Callithrix jacchus: one gene and its partners. The protein of the gene in region 7 binds, or shares a complex with, the protein of the main gene of each other region. Links are inferred from orthologs where the notes say so. Each region holds a gene or a part of one and is shown on either strand. Other genes may lie near its edges. The genes, in order: PPP2CA, STRIP2, STK24, PPP2R3B, STRIP1, STRN3 and PPP2R1A.

Region 1 (4,292 bases), on a different chromosome or scaffold from region 7:
CACACTAAGGGGAGGTATGAAGGGAAAGCAGAATTAACAATTTCCAGCCCAGGAGGCCAAGCCAGTTGGCCTCGCCAAACAGGTTGTCTTGGATAAAGGAGGATTTTCAGTCTTGCTATTGGCTGCTGGGGCCTCCAGTGCCTTCTTCAGCCTGTTGGTGGGGATGATGCCCTCAGAGCCGCAGAGTGAGCACTCTCCTTCCGAGCACTGCTGAGCACTTGGTGTGGAAGAGTTGGCTGATACTGAGGGTGGGGCGCCTGGAAAAGGCGACCAGGTTCAGCTCTTGCCTTTCCCTTTATGGCTAAATGTTCTTTGGAAAGCTTCTATATCTGTCAAATTCGGGGGCATCATGATCTCTGTCTATCCCAAACCATATTTAGCCCATACTGTTGAGAATACAAGCTCCAGGGCTGGTCATCCGTCTGGATTACCCCTCTGGATCTGGCACATAGTTGGCGCTCTATGGAACCAGATGTGTATGTAAAAGCAGGGACAATGGAATGTGAAAACGTTTTGCAAACTCCAAAGCGATTCACAACCAGACAGAGATTCAATCCCAGGGTATGCAAGCTCTCTTTAAAGCGCGGATCACATCTGCTTCTAACGCCATCGGGACGCGGTCAGGACAGGTGCATCCATCTTCTATGGGATTCTCCTCTAGAAAGTAGGCCAGGGAGGGCAGGGGCTGAGGGTCTCATTCCCAAGGGGAATCAAACTTGGAGGAAAGCAACCATCGGCGAGGAGCCGTGCACCTGGAACCAAGCCGCGGTTTGAGGCTCAAAGAAAAGCCCAAACCTCGCCATCGCCATCGCGCCCGACGAGACACCTAGGTCAGGGGACTGGTGTGTGCCGGGGAAGTCAGGTGCACTGCGCGGCACTCCCACGGTAGGCACTCGCTCCTCCACCTACGAGTGACCTAATTACACCAACCGCGCCCAGAGGTGGGGGTGGTTATTCCAACCAGGCGGCCACTCGCTGCCCATTCCTGCCCCCGAGATGCGGGAAACCCACACAATTCCAGCGCTGTTGCACCCCGGAGGAGCCATGGGGTCGCAATTCTCGCGACTGCCGGGCCCCAGACGAGGAGCTGAATTCATCACCAGAACAGCCTTCCCAGGGGAACCAGTTACAGACAGACAGTAACCCCCACTTCCATCCGGTCTGCGTCTGCGCGTGGCCCAATCTCTCACCTCTCGGGGCGTAGCGCTAAGGGATTAGTCCGGTTCGCCGCTGTGCGCATTGCGCACGCTCAAACTCCATCCTTCCCTTCCCCCACCACCCGCCCTCCGGGAGCCACGCCCTAAAAGCGAAGGCGACTGTTACCAGCCGGCTAAGTCGCGCCTGCGCTTTGACCCCCAGTTAGCGCCCCCAACTCCGGTAGTGCGGCCGCCGGGGCTGGGCATCGCAGTTGCGCAGCTCGCTCCCGGTCCCTTTTCCCGTCCGCTCCCCGCCACCTCCTAACGCCGGCGTGACGTCACCACGCCAGGCGGCCGCCATTACAGAGAGCCGATCTCTGGTGCCGGAGCGAGCGGAGGAGGAGGCGCAACGGCCGACGGCCGAGTATTGCGGTGAGAGCCAGCGGGCCAGCGCCAGCCTCAGCAGCCGCCAGAAGTACACGAGGAGCCGGCGGCGGCGTGTGCGTGTGGCCCGTGTGCGGGCGGCGGCGCGGGAGCAGCGCGGAGCCACAGCCGGCTGGGGCGGGAGGCATCATGGACGAGAAGGTGTTCACCAAGGAGCTGGACCAGTGGATCGAGCAGCTGAACGAGTGCAAGCAGCTGTCCGAGTCCCAGGTCAAGAGCCTCTGCGAGAAGGTGAGGTGTAGTCTGGGTTCAGGCAGCAGCCGTGGGGCAGACCCCGCCGAAGAAAGGGAGGCCGTGAGGAGGGTGCAACATGGCGGAGGCCGCCGGCCCGGGCCCCCCGAGTCACCGAGACCGGCGCCCAGCCCGGCCGGCGGCGGCACCCGAACGACCCGGCGCCCCCTGCCTCCCGCGCAGGGATTGGTTGTCGCCGCCAACGCCGCCTAAAATGGCGCCGTTCACCCGGGTCTTGGGCTTTTGAGTCTCCCGGCCTTGGCGCCAGACGAAGTGGCTGGGGTGGGGGAGCGGAGACCCTGTGGGTCAGCATCAGGGACGGTTTTGAGGGTGAGCGGGCTTAGATTCTGCGGCCTGGGAATGGGACCTAGACTTCTCCGGTGGGCTAAGAGGCTTTCCACTTGTACCCAAGGCCTAGTTAGGTCCAAAGCTGTCCAGAGGTACTGTCCCCAAAGGCGGTCTTGTTAGGCCATATCCCAGAACATATGTAAAGGTCACACATCTTTAGTACCCCTGGGTGGTTTGTATTAAACTCATCAAGCGGTCTTCTCCAGAAACCAAAGTGAGGGTGTCTTTAAGAATTTTAAAATTATTCCCTTAACCTAATTTCTACGAAGGTCATGGTAGTTGGAGGAGTGTAACTTATTTTTCATAGTTGGAAGAAATGGGGAATTTGGTAAGTCATAATACATGAGGAGCTTTTGGACTGGAAATCAAGTGTCAGTTGAATATGATTTATTTGCTGACTCAAAGCCTTCTCTAAGCTTAACACACTTGGCATTTTGCCATTTATTTTAAAAATCAACAAAATGGAAGAGCGGTAAATTTTGTATCTTCTCTTTGTTGCAAAAGTTAACTTGATAGAATTTTGTGGTTGCAAGTAGTAGTATTAGTAATAACTGTCGACTAAGATTGTATTCCAAACATTGTGCTTAGTGTTTAAATAATGTCTCACATGCATTGAAAATAGAATGTTGTAGTCCACTTAATAACACTTAAATTTTATATTTTGTATTAGCTAATTCTGTTTTGTTTTCCCCTGGGATTGGGGAAACAGGTAGCCAATTTAGTTATTAGCTGTATGTTGCATTTTTAAATTCTTGTAACTCAGTTTTCTAGAGTACACAAAAATGCTGATCTCTGCTGTGAACACTTTTAAACTTCTCTTTTCAAAAATAACTTTGCAGTATGTCACTTTAGTACAGAATAGTGGAGTATCATACTATCATTTTGTATTAGTGAAAAGAATTAATGGAGAACTATTATCCTGATTTGTTTGTGGTGTGATGTGAAAATTAGATTCATGAGTTTGGTGTATGTGTCCATGTTTTAGAAACCATGTTATGAACAATTGGAATTTAAGTACGTCGGATTTAGATTTATTTCTCCCAAGCATGAACAAAACTACTACTAGTTGATGAGGTAGCACATCATCTTGGAGATGTATTTTAATGGTAGCAAGGTATTGAATCTCCTGTTTCTTTACCAACCTCACATCAAATGAGGTTGGTATTTATTTTAAAGGTTTAAAATTGGCCTGAGATTATACAGTCAATTCCTTTTTAAATTAGTAGTGTGTTTAATATTGAGCACCTATTGAAGCTCCAAGATTGCATACTCTTTTGAGCGGAATGAAAATAAATGAAGACTAAGTATGCTTATTGTTGAGGAACTATGAATCTAGTTGGAAGGAAAAGCATGGTATGGAAATGTGTGGGAGATAGAGCATGGAAGTAGAGGGTTTGTGTTGGAAACTATGGAAGATAATAAGATAATACTGGATGCTAAAGTGGGGTGGGTGAAGCTAATGCATCGTTATTACTTTCCACATCTTTGTAAAACTAACATATAGTGAAGTAAATCTCCATTGCTTGCTCAGCTTACGCAAATTTTAGTTCTGAGTGCCAAAAAAGATGGAAATAATATTTGAGAGTAGATGTTAGATAAAAGTTTCCGTGGAATGGGTCCTTTTTGGTGGACATCATTATACGACCTTAATACTGTTTATAACTTGTAATTATTTCAACTTTCAGGAGCTTATTCAAACCAAATTAATTTGAAGACAGGTTTTTGGGTATGTGAAACCCATGAACTGATATTTTTTGTTCAAGTCTTTCTAGTAAAACAAAAGCTGTCTCTCACTGTTTATATTTGTGTGCCAGTGGCATCTCTGGGTGAAAGGTGCATATATGCTTTTTGGTGTGATTGCCTTCTAAAGAGTAATTTTGAAAATATTGAGGGCTAATTTTTTTGATTAACATATAATAGTAGTATTTTGGGAGGAAAAGATAGTTGTTTGAGAATAGTTGGCAATTTCTTCACTTACAAGAAGGAACGATAATATAAAAAAGCCTTCTACCCACCTAAAGATGCCTGATTTAAATGAAAGACTTTAATAGTAAAGGTAGATGTATACTGTGAGAAGTCATTGTTACTAAAAAAAAAATCCTGAGGCCATTATTTTGTTATCCCATCAACAAT
Region 2 (3,500 bases), on a different chromosome or scaffold from region 7:
CTGGGTAATCCAACCAATGTATCTGTGTCCCTGTAAAAGGCCAGACATACAAGATCATAAGCTTCCAAAGTACAGAGAACTGCTGATACCCCAATACTCCCCTAGAGTCACATGGACCGTGCTACTTTCAACAACCTCTACCCCCAGTACCCTGGATCTTCCTCTGCAAGCTAGCAGGTCCCCAGTCAATGCTTCAGGACACAAAAATAATAATGGTACACAGAAATGTTCCTAGAAATCAGGAGATTTTTATAGTCTTTTGGGTACTCACTTGGTGTGGGAGTGGTAGGTTCCTACTTCAAAGAATATATACCCCAATGACACCTTGACTCTGAAACCCCACTAAGAAAGCCTCAATTTTCAGGAGGCCAATGGAAAGGATTCATGTGGATAGGGAAATGAGGGAAGATGGGATCTATTCTGACCATGTCTCTTCTTCACAGAATTTTAGCCCATTAGAGCAGGAAGAGGCCATAGAAACACCTAATCCAACAACATCATGAAACAATTAAGGCCCAAAAGAGAAATTATTTGTTGCTCCAAGTCCTACAGTTGGCTGAAAACACAAAAGTTCTTCGAGTAAAAGTGGAAGAAACTCAAGGAAAAAAAGTCCATAGAAAGAACCCAAAGTCATTACTAGGAGTTGTCCACGGCCTGGGTGCTCTAGGTTGCATTATGACTACAAGGCACCCACCATTCCTCATTACAAGCTACCTGGCCCCCTAGGAACCACTCTATAGCCAGTTCCAACCATTCAGTCACTTACTGGCCCAGGGTGAATCCGATGAACTTGTTCCTGCTCATCTCCAAGAAGTGCTCAATGTCCTTCTGTCTGAGAGGATGATGGAAAGACCAATCCCAGAAAAGGGAAGAAAAGCAAACTTTGAGAGAGAGAATCTTTCTGGGCTCCTGCCCCTCCAAATCAGAGGACAGGAGCACTGGAGAAAGGTAGCAATCAACAGACAGAATTTCAAACTCAGGCTAACTTAACGAGTCTTGAATACATAGACTACTCCATCTTGGGCTTTTGGTGACTGAAACCTCAAAGCATAGGGGACCCTGATGCTATTAAACCTACCTGACCTTTGGGGCCCAGGGCAGGCCCTTGGGAAAAGCCACCCGCTCAGCAGAGAGGGGTGCCTGTGAGGGTGGAGGTGGCACCAGAGGGTCCTGCTCTAGCAGGTCTAACTCTCCATCCAAGGTTCTTTCTCCATCACCAGCAGACTCCTCTTCCTCCTCTGCGGCTGGCTCCTCAGTCTTGAAGAGATCCCTTTCATTGTAGATGTCCAGGCTGTCCTGCTTAGTAAGGAGTTGCTGGAGGGGAAAGAAGGGAGAGTAGGCATGCAGAGATCTCACTCTGGGCATCCTTGTCTGAGGCTACCTCATATCCACAGGCCTCCAGATTTCAGGGAACATGGAATCTAAAAACAGCCCTTGTGAAAATATCCCATTCTGTATCTCAACCCTACTGTCCCCACTGGGCCCAATAACAGGACAAGAAGTTCTCAGGCAACCATGCCATTAGCCAGAGAACAAAGCATAGATAATCCCAAAGTCACAGTTACTTAGTTTTCAGAAAGCACTGATGCCTTTTTTTTTTTTTTTGCCAGCACTTTCCTTCCTAATTATGCTCTGCTTAGGTGAACATTCAATTAGTTTGCCTTCTGTGAAAATACACCAGCTGGCGGACTGAGGAAGAGGAGGACAGAAGCTTACTGCTAGGCAGAGGGAAGCAAGTTTGGAATTTTAAATCTTGTCACAAATAAAAGAAGATTGGACAGAAATAAGCCAAAAAGTTAACAGTGACTGTCTCTGGTTGTTAAGATTGTGGGTGATTTTTCTTTTCTCCCTTCGTCACATTTTTATATTTGTTCCAAATTTTCTACAATGAGTAAGCATTACTTTATAAAACAAAAATAAAGGTTAAAAAATTGCATTGCAGATAATAGAGACTGGATTACTGAGCACTACTGTCTAGCCCTGTTGATAAACTGGCAGCAGGGCAGTTTGTAAGAACAAAGTCAGGTCTCACTATAACTTGTCATTCTGACCTTTTCAGGACAGCAGACTATAGTTATGTGCTGCACAATGATGCTTCAGTCAACAATGGACTGCATATATAATTGTGGATCCATAAGATTACAATACTGTATTTTTACGGTGCCCTTTTCTAGGTTGAGATACACAAACACCATTAGGTTACAATTGCATATGGTTTTCAGAATAGTAACCTTCTGTACAGGTTGGTAGTCTAGGAGCAATAGGCTATATGCCTAGGTATGCAGTAGGCTATGCCATTCAGGTTTGTGTAAGTACACTCTATGATGTTTGCTCAGTGACAAAACTCCATGACACATATTTTAGATTGTATCCCTGTCACTAAGTGTCACATAGCTATATACATAGAACCCTACCCAGTCATCTCTTAAATGTAAGCCTTTGGTTTCAGGGCTGGTTAAGAATGTGGCTAGCTGACAGTAAACCCTCTTGCTATCTCAAAATAGTAAAATGCCTTACATCCCAGAAAAATGGATTTTCTTGGAGCCCTCTTCAGGTGCCCTAGGTCCCTATCCCCAGGATTATACCCTTAATTGTTGTTCAGAATGTAAGAAACTCTAGCCACTGAGGTCCAGGCCAATGATTCTGTAACAAGACATGGCTATACAATGTGATATCACAGTGTTACATCACAACAGCCCAGGGGCTGTCAGGGCTGGGGGATAGAGGCCAAAGTAGAGACTCTAAGGTTTCAGGTTGGTCATCGGGCAAACCTGGGCAGGATGAGCCCATTTACTGCCTTTTCCTACCATACCCAGAGTAGCTTAGAATCTTGATTTTTGGCCAGTCAGTGTCACAGTACCACTGTTTGCTTCAGTCCATACCCTTCGAGAGCCACGGCGGCCTCGCAGCTTGGAGGGTGGAGGTGCCAGCTGAGATTCCCCCAGGTCAAGAGTGTAAGAAGGTGGGGAGGCAGCACGCATGCTCTTCACCACCTGGATACTGTCTTCAGCCAGTGGAGGTAGGCCCAATTCTGCCCGCTTCTGTACTTTGAGAGTCTGCAGATGCTCGAATCCACCTAGGGTAAACTAAGGCAGAAACAGAAAAGGGGCAAAGAGAGAGGAAGGGAGGGAAGTAACAGAGAGCCAAGGTCAGGGAAACATGGATGAAAAGAAAGAGCCACAACCCCCAGTCCCTTCAGACCTTCTCCTTAATAAGGAAGCAGTAAAGCAGGAAGAGGCAAATGTGGTTACAATCCCCACAGCAACTGAGGAGCTCAGGGGCCAGGACAAAGCATTATTTACTACCCCAGTATGGGAAACATAACCAGAAGTTAGGAAAGAGATTCCTGGGTGCCTCCTCAAAAAAAAAAAAAAAAAAAAAATAGGAAACTATCTCCTTTTTTGAGGAACACATCCAGATACTATAAACCCCCAGAGTCACTCAATTTCCTCTGCAGTCAATATGTGGTTCCTCCTATTAGGCCTGCCTTGGGAGATGGG
Region 3 (3,500 bases), on a different chromosome or scaffold from region 7:
ATGAGTTCCCAGGCTCCCACTTCCTGACACATCCCTGGCCCGACTGCCTCCCCAGCCTTCCCCACACAAATGGCTGCAGCCCCACTTTGCCTCTGATGCCAAAGGAATTCCTAGATGCCGAACTTGAAAGCAGTTCTCCGTAAGTCACTTCCTGGTACAGAGCTTCTACCAGACTCAACAGGGAATCACAAAAACATGCATTTCTAGCCTTTCAGGTATTCATGTGATACAATTTCACCTTGTCAGGATTTTAAGAACATGAAGTGTAATGGAAAACAAGACAGAACAGAAAGAAACAAAACAGAACACAGTGAAACAGCCAGGTCTGGACCCCTACGCACAGCTCTAAGAGTTCCCTCGAAGAAACTCCACTGACAACATCAAGAGGCTAAATGATGCCCAAACAGGCCCATGCTGTGTCTAACACAACAATCGCCACCAACCTGGATTATCTGAAAAAAACTCAACAAGAAACGAAATGCACACCAAACAAGTGACAAGGACCAGCGGCTCCATCCTACACCATGCTTGGGCCACCCAGGGGCCACTTACGCATCAGAATCCTCAGAGCTTGAGTCCTCATGGCTCTGCTCCGCCTTCCATCTCTTGTACCTGTCGATGAGCTCGGTCAAGTAGGAAGTTTTCTTTGCATTGCGTAGGATAAACTTGTGCTTCAGTAACTCCCTAGCAGTGGGTCTCTGGAAAAACACACACAACAACCCAAGTATGAGATGAAGCTCTCCATCCCCGCCGAAAGGACACACTTCAGCCTCAAAACATCAGCCTGCCTGATGACTGGACTCCACTCCACAGCTCTTCTCACTGTGACTCGCCCCAAGATGAGAGTCTCAGGACCTACGCCTGGACTCCGGGTGCTGTGGTGGGCATGGCACTGAGTTTCCAAGGAGGTCCTTAATATTCTACAGGTAGCCATCCAATGAAAGCACAAGAACTTCCCCCAGATAAATGCACTTCCACAGAAAACTCTGCACAGAACTTCAGAGGGATTATTCATGAGAGCTTATCTCCTAATTTATAAAATACTTTATGACAAATGCTGACAAAATACTTGTTCTGTGTCGCTTTTACTTTTTGTTTGAGACAGAGTCTTGCTCTGTTGCCCAGGTTGGAGTGCAGTGGTGAGATCTCGGCTCACTGCAACTTCTGCCGCACAGGTTCAAGCGATTCTCCTGCTTCAGCCTCCTAAGTAGCTGGGGCTACAGGAATGTGCCACTACACCTAGTGTATTATTTCTATTTTTGCAGAGATGGGGTTTCACCATGTTGGCCAGGCTAGTCTCAAACTCCTGACCTCAGGTGATCCACCCTCCTCAGACTCTCCAAGTGCTAGGATTACAGGCATGAGCCACCGTGCCTGGCCGCTTTGTTAACTTTCTGTATTAATGTTTGACCACATCCAGACACATAATAGAAATGTCAATTTGGAATTATCTCAAAGAAACCATAAGGGAGCCAGCAGATGCCCTTTTTCCTGTCTGTTGAAAGAGCGGGGTGCTCTTCATCACCCACTGTCCCAGTTTAGAAAGGCTGTTGCCCAGGTCCCTCCCTTCCCTTGTTATTGGGCTGAGGACTTCACCCATGCCCTGAGCTCAGCATGGCCACCGCAAGCAGCACCCAGCCAGCTACCTGCCTTGAAGATGGTGACAGTGATAGGGAATGTGCTTCCCAAGGAAACCAGCTTGGCCCAAATTGGAACAGACAGAAGGAACACCCAAACCCCAAGTCAAACCAAGATCCCACTCACTCCAAACTACGAAAGCTTGATTACAAGAGTCAAGCACATTTTCAGATTCAAACTCGTGAGAAACCTGATCACCTCAGGTATTCTCCCTCTCTGTCCACATGAGGGTAAAACCCCAACTACCCCTGAGGTGCTCATATTCTCGCCTCTCAGCCGGCTCCTCAGTAGCTGTAGGGTGGAGCGGTGTGTGCTGGGGAATAAGCTCGTATTAGACGCATGCTGTGCATGGGAAGGCATGCCTGCAAGCGGCCGCATCTCCACCAGTGCATGGTGGGTGCAACAAACATCATCATGCAATAAAATGCAGAGCATCATGGCACGTGGGACAAGCCTCACCACTACCTCACGCTGATGGGGTGATCAATCACTGGCGTGGTGGTCTCCGGCTGCATCTCCTTAGAGGTGCTTAGAAAATGTTGCATTCTGGCCAAGCACGGTGGCCCACACCTGTAATCCCAGCACTTTGGGAGGCCGAGGCAGTGGATCACGAGTTCAGGAGATCGAGACCAGCCTGGCCAACAAGGTGAAACCACATCTCTACCAAAAATACAAAAATTAGCTGAGTGTGGTGGTGCACGCCTGTAGTCCCAGCTACTCAGGAGGCTGAGGCAGGAGAATCCCCTGAACCCAAGAGGCGGAGGTTGCAGTGAGCCAAGATCACGCCACTGCACTCCAGCCTGGTGACAGAGTGAGAATCCGTCTCAAAAAAAAAAAAGAAAATATTGCATTTCCCACTTAATTCCTTTACCAAAACCGGTGTATTAGAAAACCACGGTGCTCTTGTAAAAGTAACCACCCATTTTTAATTAAGAGTTAGGAAAAGGGGTGCTCAGATTGGCCTTCAGCTGGAAAACTCAAACAAATCAATGACATACGGTGCTGCATCCAACACCGACACACACTGACAACTTTCAAATAAATGTCCTAATTCAAAGAGAAAACAGGGCAAAGCCAGGCAGTCGTTACTGCTGTAAGGCTCTGCCAGAGTCCATTAAACCTAAAAAGAGAAGTGGGCAGGAAGAGGCGGGGATAGCAAAGAGGGGCTTGGTTGTATTTGTATTTTCTAATCTTTTGTTTCCTAACATATGCCATCTGGAAATTGAAAACATTTACTTTAAAGACATATTTAGCCACTTATTTCCAAGCTAAACTTTCCCATTCCTAAAAACAGTGTAACAGTTTATGGCCTGATCCTCTATCGATATTAAACTTTGATGATTCCACATTTAATATTAAGGAGAATATTCTTCAGATTCAATGAAGTATGAGATGGTAGAAATCTAAAGCAAAATAAGGAAATTGCTAATACTTATAAAATGTATTTGCAAACCAAAGAGGTCAATCATACTTATTTATAGAAAAAGAAAAATGAGGAATTCCATGAAGACAGCTGAAAAGAAATCCCAACAGGATGTATCTAAACCAAGTCAAAACTCACATAGGGAGGGATGTTCAGATCCCCAGGAAACTTACAAAGCTCGGCTCCTTATTCAAACAGGCCTCCACAAACTCCTTGAGGGGTTTGCTGTAGTTTCCTTCCAATGTTGGTGGGTTGTTCTTTGGAATGAGGAATAAAACTTTCATGGGGTGCAGCTCGGAATGAGGTGGTTCCCCTCTTGCAAGTTCAATAGCTGTTATGCCCAGGGACCAGATATCTGCCTGCAACAAGAAAAGCACCTTTACCAACACCAAGCAGGAATCAATTCCAATTAACAATATTTAGGGGAAAAACGGTAAAC
Region 4 (3,500 bases), on a different chromosome or scaffold from region 7:
TGGGAGGACTCTAAGGTGGGAACACATCTGCTGTGTGGGAGGACTCTGGTGGGTGGGAGCACACGTCTGCTGTGTGGGAGGACTCTGAGATGGGTGGGAGCACACGTCTGCTGTGGGAGGACTCTGAGGTGGGTGGGAGCACGTCTGCTGTGTGGGAGGACTCTGAGGTGGGTGGGAGCACACGTCTCCTGTGTGGTGCGACTCTGAGGTGGGTGGGAGCACATGTCTGCTGTGTGGGAGGACTCTGAGGTGGGTGGGAGCACATGTCTGCTGTGTGGGAGGACTCTGAGGTGGGTGGGAGCACACGTCTCCTGTGTGGTGCGACTCTGAGATGGGTGGGAGCAGACGTCTGCTGTGTGGGAGGACTCTGAGGTGGGTGGGAGCACACGTCTGCTGTGTGGGAGGACTCTGAGGTGGGTGGGAGTACATGTCTGCTGTGTGGGAGGACTCTGAGATGGGTGGGAGCACATGTCTGCTGTGTGGGAGGACTCTGAGGTGGGTGGGAGCACATGTCTGCTGTGTGGGAGGACTCAGGTGGGTGGGAGCACACGTCTCCAGTGTGGTGTGACTCTGAGGTGGGTGGGAGCACATGTCTGCTGTGTGGGAGGACTCAGGTGGGTGGGAGCACATGTCTGCTGTGTGGTGTGACTCTGAGGTGGGTGGGAGCACACGTCTGCTGTGTGGGAGGACTCAGGTGGGTGGGAGCACATGTCTGCTGTGTGGTGTGACTCTGAGGTGGGTGGGAGCACACGTCTGCTGTGTGGGAGGACTCAGGTGGGTGGGAGCACACGTCTCTAGTATGGTGTGACTCTGAGGTGGGTGGGAGCACATGTCTGCTGTGTGGGAGGACTCAGGTGGGTGGGAGCACACGTCTCCAGTGTGGTGCAACTCTGAGGTGGGTGGGAGCACATGTCTGCTGTGTGGGAGGACTCAGGTGGGTGGGAGCACACGTCTCTAGTATGGTGTGACTCTGAGGTGGGTGGGAGCACATGTCTGCTGTGTGGGAGGACTCAGGTGGGTGGGAGCACACGTCTCCTGTGTGGTGCGACTCTGAGGTGGGTGGGAGCACATGTCTGCTGTGTGGGAGGACTCAGGTGGGTGGGAGCAGACGTCTCCAGTGTGGTGTGACTCTGAGGTGGGTGGGAGCACATGTCTGCTGTGTGGGAGGACTCAGGTGGGTGGGAGCACACGCCTCCTGTGTGGTGCGACTCTGAGGTGGGTGGGAGCACATGTCTGCTGTGTGGGAGGACTCAGGTGGGTGGGAGCAGACGTCTCCAGTGTGGTGTGACTCTGAGGTGGGTGGGAGCACATGTCTGCTGTGTGGGAGGACTCAGGTGGGTGGGAGCACACGTCTCCTGTGTGGTGCGACTCTGAGGTGGGTGGGAGCACATGTCTGCTGTGTGGGAGGACTCAGGTGGGTGGGAGCACACGTCTCCAGTGTGGTGTGACTCTGAGGTGGGTGGGAGCACATGTCTGCTGTGTGGGAGGACTCTGAGGTGGGTGGGAGCACATGTCTGCTGTGTGGGAGGACTCAGGTGGGTGGGAGCACACGTCTCCTGTGTGGGAGGACTCTGAGGTAGGTGGGAGCACATGTCTGCTGTGTGGGAGGACTCTGAGGTGGGTGGGAGCACATGTCTGCTGTGGGAGGACTCAGGTGGGTGGGAGCACACGTCTCCAGTGTGGTGTGACTCTGAGGTGGGTGGGAGCACATGTCTGCTGTGTGGGAGGACTCAGGTGGGTGGGAGCACATGTCTGCTGTGTGGGAGGACTCTGAGGTGGGTGGGAGCACATGTCTGCTGTGTGGGAGGACTCTGAGGTGGGTGGGAGCACACGTCTCCTGTGTGGTGCGACTCTGAGGTGGGTGGGAGCACATGTCTGCTGTGTGGGAGGACTCAGGTGGGGAAGCGCACACATCCTAAACGCAGCCTGTGACTTTCAGCAGTGGTGTTTGTGGGTCCGTGCCTCCTCTTTCCCGCACGTCTGTCTCAGTCATTCTGGCTACACAGTAGACGTGATAGGTTGTGGTTCCTCTGCTGAGACTTCAGATAACCTGGAGCTGTCAGGGGTTCGACAGGCTCAGGAGGCCTCACGCAGGGAGTGGGATGACCTCCTGGATGGGAGGCAGGAGGCCTTGCTCGTCCCGGGATGCAGCCCCACGTGTGGTCAGCGCACGGTTCGCTCAGCGAGGAGCCGCCCTGGGTGCCCCACGTGGTGCCTCCCCACAGTCAAAGACAGGGTTTCGGCCGGGCGCGGTGGCTCACGCCTGTAATCCCAGCACTTTGGGAGGCCGAGGCGGGTGGATCACGAGGTCAAGAGATCGAGACCATCCCGGTCAACATGGTGAAACCCCGTCTCTACTAAAAATACAAAAAATTAGCTGGGCACGGTGGCGCGTGCCTGTAATCCCAGCTACTGGGGAGGTTGAGGCAGGAGAATTGCCTGAACTCAGGAGGCGGAGGTTGCGGTGAGCCGAGATCGCGCCATTGCACTCCAGCCTGGGTGACAAGAGTGAAATTCCGTCTCAAAAAAAAAGGCAGGGTTTCACCATATTGGTCAGGATGGTCTCGATCTTCTGACCTCAAGTGATCCGCCTGCCTCAGCCTCCCAAAGTGCTGGGATGACAGGCGTGAGCCCCCGCGCCCGGCCAGAGTGTAGCATTCATCGAGTCAGGCTGTCGTGCAGACCGTGGTTTTTTGGGGTGTCCACGCCCCTTTTCCCACCTGTCCACAGGGGCACCCGTGACCAGACCCTCCCCGAGCGCAGCCTGGGGTGGTGCCTCCCGCAGGGCCCTTCCCACTGCCCCCGCCTGTTCCCTGGTGGGCCTGGGGCTGCTGAGACCAAGGCAGTGCCCGTCTGCCCCCGTTCCCCGTCTCTGCGAGGGGTGAGGCCCCTCGGGGTCTGCACACCCAGGACATTGACGCACCCCCGCAGGTCATCCAGCGCATCTTCTACGCAGTGAACCGGTCCTGGTCCGGCAGGATCACCTGCGCTGAGCTGCGGAGGAGCTCATTCCTGCAGGTGCGGCGGCCCCTAACCCTTTCCTCCCCCTCCGCTTCTCCTCCACCCCCCCCCCGCTTCTCCTCCCCCATCCCCTTTTCTTCCTCCTCTCCCTCCCCCTCCTCTGTTCCTCCCCATGTCCCTCCCCCTCTCCCTTTCCACCCCTTCCCGCCCCCTTCCTTTCTCCCCCGTCCCCGTCCCCTCCCTCTTCTCACCACCCTCCTTCCCTTTCCTCCCCGTTTTGTCTCCCACCCCCTCCCTTCCCTTTCCCCATGTCCTGGGAGCCCTGGGCCTACAGCACCCCCACTCCCGCCTAGCAAGCTGTTTCCATGCTGCAGTTCCCCCAACCTGGAACTGCCCCCACTCGGAGCACCCCCGCCACAGCTGCCCGTCCCCAGCACCCACGGAGCGGCCCCGCCCTCCGCCCCAGCCTTCTCCCTGCCCGCAGCCACCTCGGAGCTCAGCCCCCGCCCCATGTCCTTTGGCAGAACGTAGCGCTGCTG
Region 5 (3,500 bases), on a different chromosome or scaffold from region 7:
AGGAACTGCTGAGGGCTCGACTTAGGTGGGGCTCTTGGTTGAGACTCCCAAAGGCAATCCAGGGTCAAGTGACTAATTAGAGCCACAGCTAAGTGTGAGCCTCCTCCTCACACTGTTACGAGGACCCGGGTATGGGGTGTTTTATATTTGGATGAAACACATGATGATGTTCCCTGGGCTCCCTGGGCCTTCTTTGTGTACACAGCTTGATCCTCATCTTCATTGGATTAGACCCAGCAACTTGCTAATGTTTCATGGCTGCCCAGGAGTTCAAGCAACTGCTAAACAACAAGATGACCCTCCAGTTTTTGAGGGTTGAAATCTGGCTGTTTTGTGAATTTGGAGTTTGTAGATTGTGGTTGTAGTGTTCCCTCCTGAGTGTTAGGATCGCTGGGTGTCACGTCCCAGCTCCTGCTTTCCACTTCCTCGTCATAAGCCCTGTTTTTTGTTCTCACTGTGACCCTACAGCTCACTACCACCTCTGTGGTATTTTCTCTTCAGGAAGCTTAGGGCAGTAAATGCTTTTAACCATTCTTGTTCATGTTTGTTTATTCACTACCATTTATTAATATTAAGCCCCTGCCTTGAGTAAGCACTTCGTTAGACACTAGGGTGCTCCCTTGACTCCCGATCCTACTCCATTGTGAGCTGGCTCTTGTCCTCAGGGTCCTGCTCAACATCATGTACCTGATAGTGGAGACTGTTCACCAGGAGTGTGAGGGTGACAAGGCTGAGTGGAGGACCATGCGACAGACCTTCAGAGCCGAGCTGGGTAGGACCCTGGGGATCCTCTGAAGAGGCCCTGCCTGGAGGAGGCAGGAGGCCTTGGGAGGGTCCTGATACCTTTGTGTCACCTCCAGGCTCCCCGCTGTACAACAATGAGCCATTTGCCATCATGCTGTTTGGGATGGTGACCAAATTTTGCAGCGGTCACGCCCCTCACTTCCCCATGAAGAAAGTTCTCTTGCTGCTCTGGAAGACTGTATTGGTGAGCACCTCCTTGGAGGAGAACTCGGGTGGTAGGGGAGGGGCAGTAGGAAGACTGTTCCTTGACTATCCTTTTGAATATTGAATGACGTGGTTATAAAACTGCTTTGGTAAGAAAAATATATATATTTAAAAAGCCGCTAAAGAGATGACAAAGAAGTGCCACTTTTGTTCCACTGTAGCCAGCGAGGACATAGGCCTTGAGTCAGAATAGACTGTTGATCCCTGGAAGCTGTTTTCTCAGTCACAGACAGCTCTCTCCCAGACAAGTTGCCTCTCATCAAGCAGCTCTGAACCTGGAGTTTGTAAAGGGATTTGAGGCAAAGTTAAAGCCTGTGTAACTGGGGCCCTGGTTAGATGTCATTTGAAGGGGCAAGAGTGAGCCCTGAGCCAGTCTTCATTTTCTTCAGGGTATACTGTCAACCTGATTCTGTGTCTAGGGAGGGAGGGACTGGCTGCCAGGGTGGGCCGGCCAGCACACCAGGCTTGGAGTGTTGTTCGCAGCCAGGCCATCCCAGGAGGAGTGGCGTGGGGAGATGGTGGAGGTGAGTTGGGACTGCTGCTGCACTGGGGCTCATCCCTCCTCCTTTCAGAATGGGTTGACCCTGGAGCCAGTAAGTGTAGGATTTCTCAAGAGTCATTGACGCATTTTATCTTGGACACATATTCTGTTCTTCACAACGCCTTGCTGAGGCCAGAGAGGAAAGCTGAATTGCGCAGAAACAGTAAAACTAAGCAGTGTAAAATTGCTGCATGGTTCTGGGGTTTCTGCTTCTTGGGAGGTGTTTAGTTGAAGCTTTTTTTTTCTTTCAAATTTGAGCATCCAACTGTATCTCCAATTTGACTTTGAAAGACTTGCATGTACAACTTGTGAAACATATGAGTCTTACCAACTTCTAGGAACTTGAAGGGTTAGGCTGTTGTCCTTTTTTTAAATTGAAGAGTATGTCATAGGTGCAGAGTTCAGTGTGTCTGTACAAGAGTCAGTCAGCCTGCATCTCTATACCCTTTCCTTGTTCCTTTTTCTCCTTTCGCTTGATGGTGTCACTGAATTCTTGTGAGTGGCTTTAGTCCCTTATTCAGAGGTTGCCTGGGTCTCTATAAAGAGACCCAGGTCATGATGTCATGGGTGCTTCTGAGCCTGACATAATGGTTAGGGACCAACCCTGTGGACATGTTGACCCTGGCTCTGCTCCCGTCTATGATGCAGTGCACGCTGGGTGGCTTTGAGGAGCTGCAGAGCATGAAGGCTGAGAAGCGCAGCATTCTGGGTCTCCCCCCACTTCCTGAGGACAGCATCAAAGTGATTCGCAACATGAGGGCCGCCTCTCCACCAGCATCTGCTTCAGACTTGATTGAGCAGCAGCAGAAACGAGGCCGCCGAGAGCACAAGGTGAGGGCGACAGAGGTCCCTGTGACTCCTGAGGGTCCTCAAGGTGCACGCTGGAGCAGTGCGGTCCTTGGAGGAGCAGGGCTACTGGAAATGAGCACCGAGTAGCCAGTCAGAATCATGCCTCCATGGCAAGGACACTTTGTCCCCTGCTCTGGTCTAGTTTATGATGTGTGCTCAGCACGTGGTGCTTTTGAGGGACCGGAGGAAGAAGTAGTTGATTGTTTGGCCCCCGTCTTGACTCTGCCTCTGGTTGTTCCACTGTTCTAAGCTCTGCCCGACACACCTCTGTGCTCTGTCTCTTCTGGTCTGTGTCCTCAGTTGGCTCTTGTCTCATCTCCCTTCCCTGGTTTCAGGCTCTGATAAAGCAGGACAACCTAGATGCCTTCAACGAGCGGGATCCCTACAAGGCTGATGATTCTCGAGAAGAGGAAGAGGAGAATGATGATGACAACAGTCTGGAGGGGGAGACGTTCCCCCTGGAACGGGATGAAGTGATGCCTCCCCCACTACAGCACCCGCAGACTGACAGGCTGACCTGCCCCAAAGGGCTACCGTGGGCTCCCAAGGTCAGGTGAGTCTCACACCTCCAGAGCATTCTTGGCTTCTGAAGCTAGAGCCTTCACACCCTCAGGCCTGCCACCTGGCCTGCGTCACCGTGAGTGGTCATCTGAGGGCAGGCTGACCCTGGCTCTGAGATGAGGCTCTTTTAAAGCTCCCTGTGCTGGCCTGAGGGTCTCAGGGAGGCTGGCCTTGCTGGTCTCACACAACATGGCCCCCATGTGGCTACTGAGTCAGCAATTTGAGTTAGCTCTTGGTTAGTTAGGCATGCTAGTGAAAGGGAATAGAAACAGATAAAAACAAGAGCATTTAAGCAAACATGCCCCCATCCACCCTGGGCTTGTGTATGACTTTTAACAGAACAGTGATGGATTAAGGAAGCGTTTCTTTAGAGCTATGATGAAAATGTTTGAGGTATATGTGGGTAAATGGGTGGAAAGGTACCTGGAGATACATAAATGGTGTCTGTTTGAGAGGCAGCAACTTAAGAAATAAAGTAGATGAATGTGTGAGAGGATATAGAAGTCACTTTCTTGATCCAGGTAAAGCCTCAGTTTTCAGT
Region 6 (3,500 bases), on a different chromosome or scaffold from region 7:
TCTCTGTATCACCCATTCTTACAGCTTAATGTATCATCAGTAGAGAAGACTCTCCATGTTTTTATCTCCAATTGAAATCTCTTTGGGTTCCATATTTGTATATTACCTACTTGATACTGTTATAGTTTAACATGCCTAAAATCAGAACTCACCATCTTAAATCTCCTCACAGCCCCCATTTCAATAAATGCTCCCATCACATGCTTAGTTGCTCTTGTCACTCATGACTGATAATGAAAATGTTCTGAAATTAGTGATGATGGCTGCACAACTTTGTGAACACAGTAAAAACTACTGAACTGTATACTATTTTTAAGCATTAACTTTTCTTTAAGAAATGGGGTCTTGTGGCTGCACATTGTGGCTCATGCCTATTATCCCAATTCTTTGGGAGACCAAGGCAGTAGGATTACTTGAGCCCAGGAGTTTGAGAGAACCCTGGGTTACATGGCCACCGTTTCTACAAAAAATACAAAAATTAGTGGGGTGTGGTGACTCACACCTGTAGTCCCAGCTACTCAGGAGTATGGTTTGAGCCTGGGCAGCAGAGGTTGAGGTAAGCCAAGATCACGCCTCTGCCCTCCAACCTAGGAGACAGAGCGAGACGCTGTCTCAAAAAAGAAAAGCACTAAAAAAAAATGACTAGGAGTAAAATGATTATCGTAACTTTTACAAAATTCTTTAATTAAATGTTTTATTGAGATATAACTTGCTTTTCAAAAGAAACGAAGGAAAGGAGGGGAAAGGGGAAAGTGAAAAGGTAAAAGAGAAAGGGGAAAGGGGAAAGGAGAAAGGAGAAAGGGGAAAGGGGAAAGAGGAAAGAAAAGGAAGAAAGAGAGATGGGTTCTCTCTATAATGGAGTACACTGGCACCATCATAGCTCACTACAGTCTTGACTTCCTATACTCAAGTGATCCTTCCAGCTCAGCCTCCTGAGCATCTGGGACTATAGGCACATGCCACCACATGTGGATGATTTTTAAATTTCTGGTAGACATCAGGTCTTACTGTGTTGCCCAGGTTGGTCTTGAAGTCCTGGCCTCAAGTGATTCTCCCATCTCGGCCTCCCAAAGTGGTGGGATTACAGGTGTGGGCCACTGTGCCCAGCCTGAACTGTATACTTTAAAAGGGTGAATTTTGTGATATGCAAATTACATCTCAATAAAGCAGTTAATTAAAAAACACATACAACCAAATTAAGAGTCACTCACTTATCACTTTATCTACTCAACATAATTTATCAATAAATCCTTTCTATTCTACCACACTTCCCCAGTGTATATCTTAAAACCACTTCTAACTGCTCTGCTACCACCACTCTAACCTTGGCAATATTGTCTGTCACCTAGTTTACTGGACTACTGTATGACAGCGGCCTCCTAAATGGTATTTCTCTTTCCACTCTTCTCACCCCCAATTTATTCTTCTCACACCAGACACAGTCACCTTTTTAAAACCTTACATTTATCAGATAACTTCATGGCTTAAAACTCTTTACTGAAAGTAGCTTTTATCCTTCAGATGTTGGCTTGAATGTCATGATTTTAGATAAACCTTTCTTAATTCTTCTAGAAAAGGTTCTTTTACTCCCTCTTACAGTACTCTATCGTTTTTGTTTTTGTTTTTAATTTTTAAAATGGGTAAGAAAAACTTTTACTGGCAACCATCAAAGAGATATTCTCAAAAAGACTAAGACCCAAGGTAGAGACCCCTAAAGGGATGATTTTCCCTCAACTCCTCAGCCTGGAACAGATTTTAAACCAAGCTGGAGAAATCACTCCAGCTCTGGCCACAAATTAATCTCTACATCCTGGCCTTCAACCTGGTTGGAAGCTGGTTCACTTCATCCAAGGGCTGAGTTCGAGGGCATTCATGGCTTCCTCAAGTTTGAGCATCCATTGTTCCTGGTGCTGGCGGTGCCACTCAGCCTTAGACTAGAGTATCCGCTTGGCCCGAAGCTTGTATAGGAGCTGTAAACCACGACCTCAGTGAAATCTGGAGACTTCAGAGCCTTCAGCTCGAGCATGGCCTTGCTCACCTGCTCGATGTAAGGGATTCGACATCCGTCCCGGCCGAACATGGCTTCCAGCAGCCGCATCTGGACCTGGAACACTTCTGGATCTTTCAGGTCTTCGGGAACTTTCACCCACGGTGGGATACTTCTACGTTCCGGGAGCATTCCCATCTTATGACCCTCACAAGCAAAACCCTATCATCTTATCATTTATCACAATTTGTAACCATAGATCCCATCACCTTGCTTATTTGTTTTATATCTCTACTTTCCATTAGACTGATCTTATTTCTTGACATAGTACTTACCACAATGCCTAGCTAATGTAGGCACAAAGTGTGTGTTAAATAGAAAGAACAAAGAGTTCATAAACATTTTGTTTTAATGTTTTATAATTATTAACAATGTCCTTACAAATATATTTGAACACAGGTCCAGGTAGGTCTTTTCTGTAGGACAGATTTCTAAAAGCTCCATTTGTAAGTCAAAGAGGTTTTTGTTTTTTGAAATTAAAAATGTTTTTGTAGATATAAGCTAAGAATAACAAAAATTTTTTTGGCTCCAAAAAGTTGTAATGATTTACACCCTTGCTGTTGTTTCCATTGTCTTTTGCTTGGTATTTTTGAAATATATAAACTATTTCTTAAGTTTAAAATTTTGTTATTTAGATTATATTTTGTTTCCTTCTCCTTTTTGTAACGACCTAAATTAACATTTTAATTAATAGTTTTTTTTAACAGAGAAAGTGTCAATTCATAGGTTTAAATAACCATGGCATGATATTTCCTAACTTTTCTCTTTAATAAAGCAATTTATTAGCAAACTGAATAACTAAATGAGGTGACTAATATAGGTTTAAATAACCTTGTAATCATATTTGAGGCATTCACTTTTGTCAGCTCCATTCACTTAAAAAAAAAATACATTTTGATCCTTTTACTTACCATATGTATCATACGGATCCACATTGGGACTCGGCATATTCCACCACTGGATGGTTGCATCAATACCACCACTAAAACACTGGTCTCCATTAGAACTAATAGCTAAGGATAGAACAGGGCCACTATTGTAGAAAAAGAGAGTGAAAAAAAATTACTGATAAATTCTAAGAAGGAACTCAAATCTCCGTTCTCCCAACCTCTGAATTTATGTTATATCTAAAAACTGTTTTAAGAGAACACATACATTTGAATGGTGGGGTTTTTTTTTGGAGACAGAGTCTCACTCTGTCGTCCGCCCAGGCTGGAGTGTAGTGGTGATCTCGGTTTACCACAACCTCCGCCTCCTGGGATTAAGTGATTCTCCTGCCTCAGCATCCCAAGTAGCTGAGACCACAGGCACACGCCACCATGCCCAGCTAATTTTTGTATTTTCTGGTAGAGATGGGGTTTTACCATGTTGGCCAGGCTTATCTCGAACTCCCGACCTCAAGTGATCTGCCTACCTCAGCCTCCCAAAGTCCTGGGATTATAGGCATGAACTA
Region 7 (3,500 bases):
GGGGCATGTACTCAATGATGGCCAGCCGCACCCGCCACTTGGCATCCTCAGCCAGCTCCACAATGGCAGGGAGCAGGGACTGGGACAGCTGTCGGATGCCAATCACCTCGTTCACACAGTCCAGGTTGGAGATGATGTTCAGCCGTACCTCAGGGCACTGAGGAGAGGAAAGAAGGATTCTGAGAGAATGCCATGCACCCAGCAACCCAGGACAGGGTGGAAAGAGCTCAGCTGCATCAACTTGGTATAATGGACATCTCCTGAGGCCCTACACCTGCCCAAGCCCAGCTCCCAGTCCTGGGGACACAATAAAGGCACACAAAAAGCAGCAGCATGGATCACTGAGGTAAGTAGATTTTTAAACCTTACAATAGTCTCACAAGAAATGTTTATCCATTTTGAAAGGACTTAAATACAGCACCCTGGAAAAAAAAGGCAGACGTGCTTCTTCTAATCCTAGCTCTGCTGCTTTTTAACAAGGGTTCATTTTTGGATATCAATCCACAACATGGGAGAGGGAAGGGAAGAAAACTATTTCCTTATTAAAACTATTCTAGTCTAAAGAAATGAGTGAGCACTGAAATGAATCAATAAACCAAGTAACAAGGCTGGCAGGCCTGGCCTGTTCAAACCCTGCACATTCCGAAGATAGGACTGGCCCTTGCCCAGCTCCTGTCCTGGGTGCGTGGCCTCAAGGCGCTCAGTGCATGAGAAGAGAAGGTTCAGAGAATACACCTTACCCATTTAAAAAGACTTCTTTTTGGTGCACCAAGAAAAAAGTAGACTTTTTCATTTAGACAAGTTTATAAATTCTGGTGAGAGTCAAAATGTGAAATACAAAATTCATAAATCTAAAATGGAAGTCCCAAATACAAGTCAGATGAATTCCTCACACTAAGAAAACCATGCTGGTTCTTTTTTTCTCTGTAAGAAGTTGCCCTGAGACAGGCTGGCTGCCAGCATGTGATTACCATGTCGTGCTTGCTGAAGGTGAAACTAGAGCAAAAAATGCTTCAATTCTAGTGTACTTGCAGCATGTATGGGCTTGCCTTCACACTGGGCTGAGCCTGGATCCTTCCCGATGCCAGAGGCAAAATGCTCTCGAAAACTCTGGAGAGGTGTGAAATGGCATAGCAGACAACTTGAGGGGCTCTCACCTACCAACTTATGCCATTAAAGCATCAAAATAAATAAAAATTGTATATATAACATCTATAAAAGATTATAAAAGAAAATATGTGCATGTGAAGCATAACTCAGATATATTACTTAAGTCATAAAATTTGTCATGAACATTAATGATGATTTAAACTTTTAGCAACTGATGTAAATAACTGATTAAAAATACTATACTGTAGGATGGGTGCGGTGGCTCATGCCTGTAATCCCAGCACTTTGGGCCGGGGCCATGGCTGAGGCGGGCGGATCACCTAAGGTCAAGAGTTCAAGACCAGCCTGACCAACATGAAGAAATCCTGTCTCTAATAAAAATACAAAATTAGCCAGGCGTGGTGGCACATGCCTGTAATCCCAGCTACTGAGGAGGCTGCGGATGGAGAATAGATTGCAAGCGAGAGGTGGGGGTTGTGGCAAGCCAAGATCATGCCATTGCACTACAGTCTGGGCAATAAGAACTCCATCTCAAAAAAACAAAAAACATGCCAGGTGTGGTGGCTCAAGCCTGTAATCCCAGCACTTTTGGAGGCCGAGGCGGGTGGATCACGAGGTCAAGAGATCGAGACCATCCTGGCCAACATGGTGAAACCTCGTCTCTACTAAAAATACAAAAAATTAGCTGGGCATGGTGGCGCGTGCCTGTAATCCCAGCTACTCCAGAGGCTGAGGCAGGAGAATTGCCTGAACCCAGGAGGCTGAGGTTGCAGTGAGCCGAGATCGCGCCATTGCACTCCAGCCTGGATAACAAGAGCGAAACGCCCTCTCAAAAAAAAAAAAACAAAAAAAAAAACAAAAAAACCCCACATTGTTAATAACCCATTAATAGGGAATAACCCAGAACAAAAAATATATTTAAAATAGCACATTCTTTTCATTTTTCGTTTTTTTTTAAGATGGGGTTTCACCATGTTGGTCAGGCTGGTCTTGAACTCCTGACCTCAGGTGATCTGCCCCAGGTGGTCTTGAACTCCTGACCTCAGGTGTTCTGCCCACCTTGACCTCCAAAGTGCTTGGATTATAGGCATGAGCCACCAGCCCTGTCGCACATTCTTTTCAATGTATCAAAAAATTGACTAATTCTGGGGCTAAGAGATTATTCCACTGTAGCGTAAATGAACAACGTAACTTTTTGGGGCATGGGGGACTGAAATGTGATACTTTCTGTTACAGTATTTCCTCCAACTTCCTAGCACGCCTGTGTACAGAAAAGAAGGGGATGGGGAAGAGCCAAGGATTGAGGCCTTTGGGAACCAAGACGTCATATACCAGCAAACGATTGCACCATCTGCCCAGTTTTTCACTACCAAGGCAAAAACCACCATGTGGTCCCTCTACCTCCCGAACAATCTTGAATCCTTCCATATCACTGCAGCCTTTTCTCTACATACCCTCAATCTAGCCTCAGTCTTCCAGACTCCCACAGCAGCCTCTGGTTTGGTCTTCCTACATTTCTGCTGGCCACCTCACTTTAACCTTCCCTTTACATAAGCCTTAGGGTGCCTTCTAATACCAACTGTATTCTGGCTCCTGCACTTGCCCAGAGTCAAGTCCAAATTCCTTCCCCAGTGGTCACCCCAATGATCTCTCTAGTCATTACCCAGCACCTCCCCTCATCCTCTGTAATCCAGGTAACCTGAACTGCTAGATGTGATCATGTGACCCTCCCTGGCCAATGGGTGTATGGGGTACAAGCACGCGTGGGGAATCTTGTCCTTCAGAGAACTGGGTCTGCTGTTGTCTGTGCCTGACCCCTCCATGCCGGCTAAGATGCTAAAAACTGGAGCAGTTGCCTGAGACTCTGAGACAGTTGAGGTCAGCAGGGCAAACCCACCAGTGTAGGCCCGCCTAGACTGCTATGAGAGAAAAAAAAATCCTCCATCTAATTTAAGCCAGAAGGTATTCTGGGGTCTCCATTACAACACCTTAGCCTAAACCCTAAAAAACATGAACTCAACTGTAACAGCACCTTTAACACCTTAAGGGCATCATGGGATTGCCTGTACGTCTCTGCTGCCAGTCTCTGAAGGCTTTTGAGGATCAAAACTGTCTTATTTTAGGCTGGGCGTGGCACTTCACACTTGTAATCCCAGGCCTTTGGAAGCCAAGGAAGGAGAATTGCTTGAGAACGAGATACCAAGACCAACCTGATCAACACAGCAAGACCCCTGTCTCTAGAGCAAAAAAAAAATTTTTTTTAATTATCTTTATTTTATCTTATTACTTTTTTAAGATGGGGTTTCACCATCTTGGTCAGGCTGGTCTTGAACTCCTGACCTCAGGTGATCCGCCCGCCTTGGCCTCCAAAGCACTTGGATTACAGGCGT

The links.
Region 1: the proteins of PPP2R1A (region 7) and PPP2CA are in contact, whole or in part, in a cryo-EM structure (PDB 8UO5), measured with the Homo sapiens proteins. The link is inferred for Callithrix jacchus from reciprocal best matches to the Homo sapiens genes PPP2R1A and PPP2CA. Residues at the interface, in NP_055040.2 of Homo sapiens: Trp257, Arg258, Tyr261, Met262, Glu297, His304, His340, Ala415, Lys416, Trp417, Arg418, His454, Val455, Tyr456, Ala457, Arg459, Glu460, Pro493, Asn494, Tyr495, Leu496, Met499, Phe503, Pro532, Val533, Ala534, Asn535, Phe538, Asn539, Lys542; in NP_002706.1 of Homo sapiens: Lys4, Thr7, Lys8, Asp11, Arg49, Pro51, Val52, Thr53, Glu67, Phe69, Arg70, Ile71, Gly72, Gly73, Lys74, Pro76, Asp77, Thr78, Asn79, Arg106, Tyr107, Arg108, Glu109, Arg110, Glu277, Leu278, Asp279, Asp280, Leu287, Phe289.
Region 2: PPP2R1A (region 7) and STRIP2 share a complex: the UniProt entries of both Homo sapiens proteins name them as parts of the core of STRIPAK complex. The link is inferred for Callithrix jacchus from reciprocal best matches to the Homo sapiens genes PPP2R1A and STRIP2.
Region 3: PPP2R1A (region 7) and STK24 share a complex: the UniProt entries of both Homo sapiens proteins name them as parts of the core of STRIPAK complex. The link is inferred for Callithrix jacchus from reciprocal best matches to the Homo sapiens genes PPP2R1A and STK24.
Region 4: the proteins of PPP2R1A (region 7) and PPP2R3B are in contact, whole or in part, in a crystal structure (PDB 4I5N), measured with the Homo sapiens proteins. The link is inferred for Callithrix jacchus from reciprocal best matches to the Homo sapiens genes PPP2R1A and PPP2R3B. Residues at the interface, in NP_055040.2 of Homo sapiens: Leu10, Ile13, Ala14, Ile17, Ala41, Leu42, Arg46, Ser49, Glu50, Leu51, Pro53, Phe54, Asp57, Ile59, Asp61, Glu62, Asp63, Glu64, Glu100, Glu101, Thr102, Arg105, Asp139, Trp140, Phe141, Asp177, Thr178, Pro179, Met180, Arg183; in NP_037371.2 of Homo sapiens: Ser122, Ser124, Ile125, Pro126, Thr127, Phe128, Tyr129, Arg275, Trp277, Ser278, Ala284, Glu285, Arg288, Arg354, Ser357, Gly358, Ala359, Val360, Thr361, Arg362, Gly363, Arg364, Gln367, Lys368, Glu394, Arg398, Asp401, Leu402, Asp403, Gly404.
Region 5: PPP2R1A (region 7) and STRIP1 share a complex: the UniProt entries of both Homo sapiens proteins name them as parts of the core of STRIPAK complex. The link is inferred for Callithrix jacchus from reciprocal best matches to the Homo sapiens genes PPP2R1A and STRIP1.
Region 6: the proteins of PPP2R1A (region 7) and STRN3 are in contact, whole or in part, in a crystal structure (PDB 6IUR), measured with the Homo sapiens proteins. The link is inferred for Callithrix jacchus from reciprocal best matches to the Homo sapiens genes PPP2R1A and STRN3. Residues at the interface, in NP_055040.2 of Homo sapiens: Leu10, Pro12, Val15, Asp18, Glu19, Asn22, Leu27, Asn30, Ser31, Lys34, Leu35, Thr37, Ile38, Leu40, Ala41; in NP_001077362.1 of Homo sapiens: Asn109, Leu110, Asp113, Arg116, Arg117, Lys119, Met120, Leu121, Tyr123, Ala124.

Annotation. Positions count from the first base shown.
Region 1 is NC_133503.1:74,102,590-74,106,881, forward strand, and holds the start of PPP2CA (serine/threonine-protein phosphatase 2A catalytic subunit alpha isoform), read left to right. Parts: upstream 1-1,492; 5' UTR 1,493-1,709; coding exon 1,710-1,811; intron 1,812-4,292. UniProt on the Homo sapiens protein: Catalytic subunit of protein phosphatase 2A (PP2A), a serine/threonine phosphatase involved in the regulation of a wide variety of enzymes, signal transduction pathways, and cellular events.
Region 2 is NC_133512.1:117,744,071-117,747,570, forward strand, and holds part of STRIP2 (striatin-interacting protein 2), read right to left. Parts: intron 3,087-3,500; coding exon 2,883-3,086; intron 1,315-2,882; coding exon 1,079-1,314; intron 833-1,078; coding exon 767-832; intron 31-766; coding exon 1-30. UniProt on the Homo sapiens protein: Plays a role in the regulation of cell morphology and cytoskeletal organization. Required in the control of cell shape. Calmodulin-binding scaffolding protein which is the center of the striatin-interacting phosphatase and kinase (STRIPAK) complexes.
Region 3 is NC_133502.1:14,170,682-14,174,181, forward strand, and holds part of STK24 (serine/threonine-protein kinase 24), read right to left. Parts: intron 3,421-3,500; coding exon 3,235-3,420; intron 699-3,234; coding exon 553-698; intron 1-552. UniProt on the Homo sapiens protein: Serine/threonine-protein kinase that acts on both serine and threonine residues and promotes apoptosis in response to stress stimuli and caspase activation.
Region 4 is NC_133524.1:748,081-751,580, reverse strand, and holds part of PPP2R3B (serine/threonine-protein phosphatase 2A regulatory subunit B'' subunit beta), read left to right. Parts: intron 1-2,931; coding exon 2,932-3,018; intron 3,019-3,485; coding exon 3,486-3,500. UniProt on the Homo sapiens protein: The B regulatory subunit might modulate substrate selectivity and catalytic activity, and might also direct the localization of the catalytic enzyme to a particular subcellular compartment.
Region 5 is NC_133508.1:147,895,649-147,899,148, forward strand, and holds part of STRIP1 (striatin-interacting protein 1), read left to right. Parts: intron 1-665; coding exon 666-772; intron 773-860; coding exon 861-988; intron 989-2,197; coding exon 2,198-2,380; intron 2,381-2,733; coding exon 2,734-2,951; intron 2,952-3,500. UniProt on the Homo sapiens protein: Plays a role in the regulation of cell morphology and cytoskeletal organization. Required in the cortical actin filament dynamics and cell shape. Part of the striatin-interacting phosphatase and kinase (STRIPAK) complexes.
Region 6 is NC_133509.1:65,333,295-65,336,794, forward strand, and holds part of STRN3 (striatin-3), read right to left. Parts: intron 3,081-3,500; coding exon 2,959-3,080; intron 2,335-2,958; exon of another isoform or gene 1,612-2,334; intron 1-1,611. UniProt on the Homo sapiens protein: Calmodulin-binding scaffolding protein which is the center of the striatin-interacting phosphatase and kinase (STRIPAK) complexes.
Region 7 is NC_133523.1:45,600,625-45,604,124, reverse strand, and holds part of PPP2R1A (serine/threonine-protein phosphatase 2A 65 kDa regulatory subunit A alpha isoform), read right to left. Parts: intron 158-3,500; coding exon 1-157. UniProt on the Homo sapiens protein: The PR65 subunit of protein phosphatase 2A serves as a scaffolding molecule to coordinate the assembly of the catalytic subunit and a variable regulatory B subunit.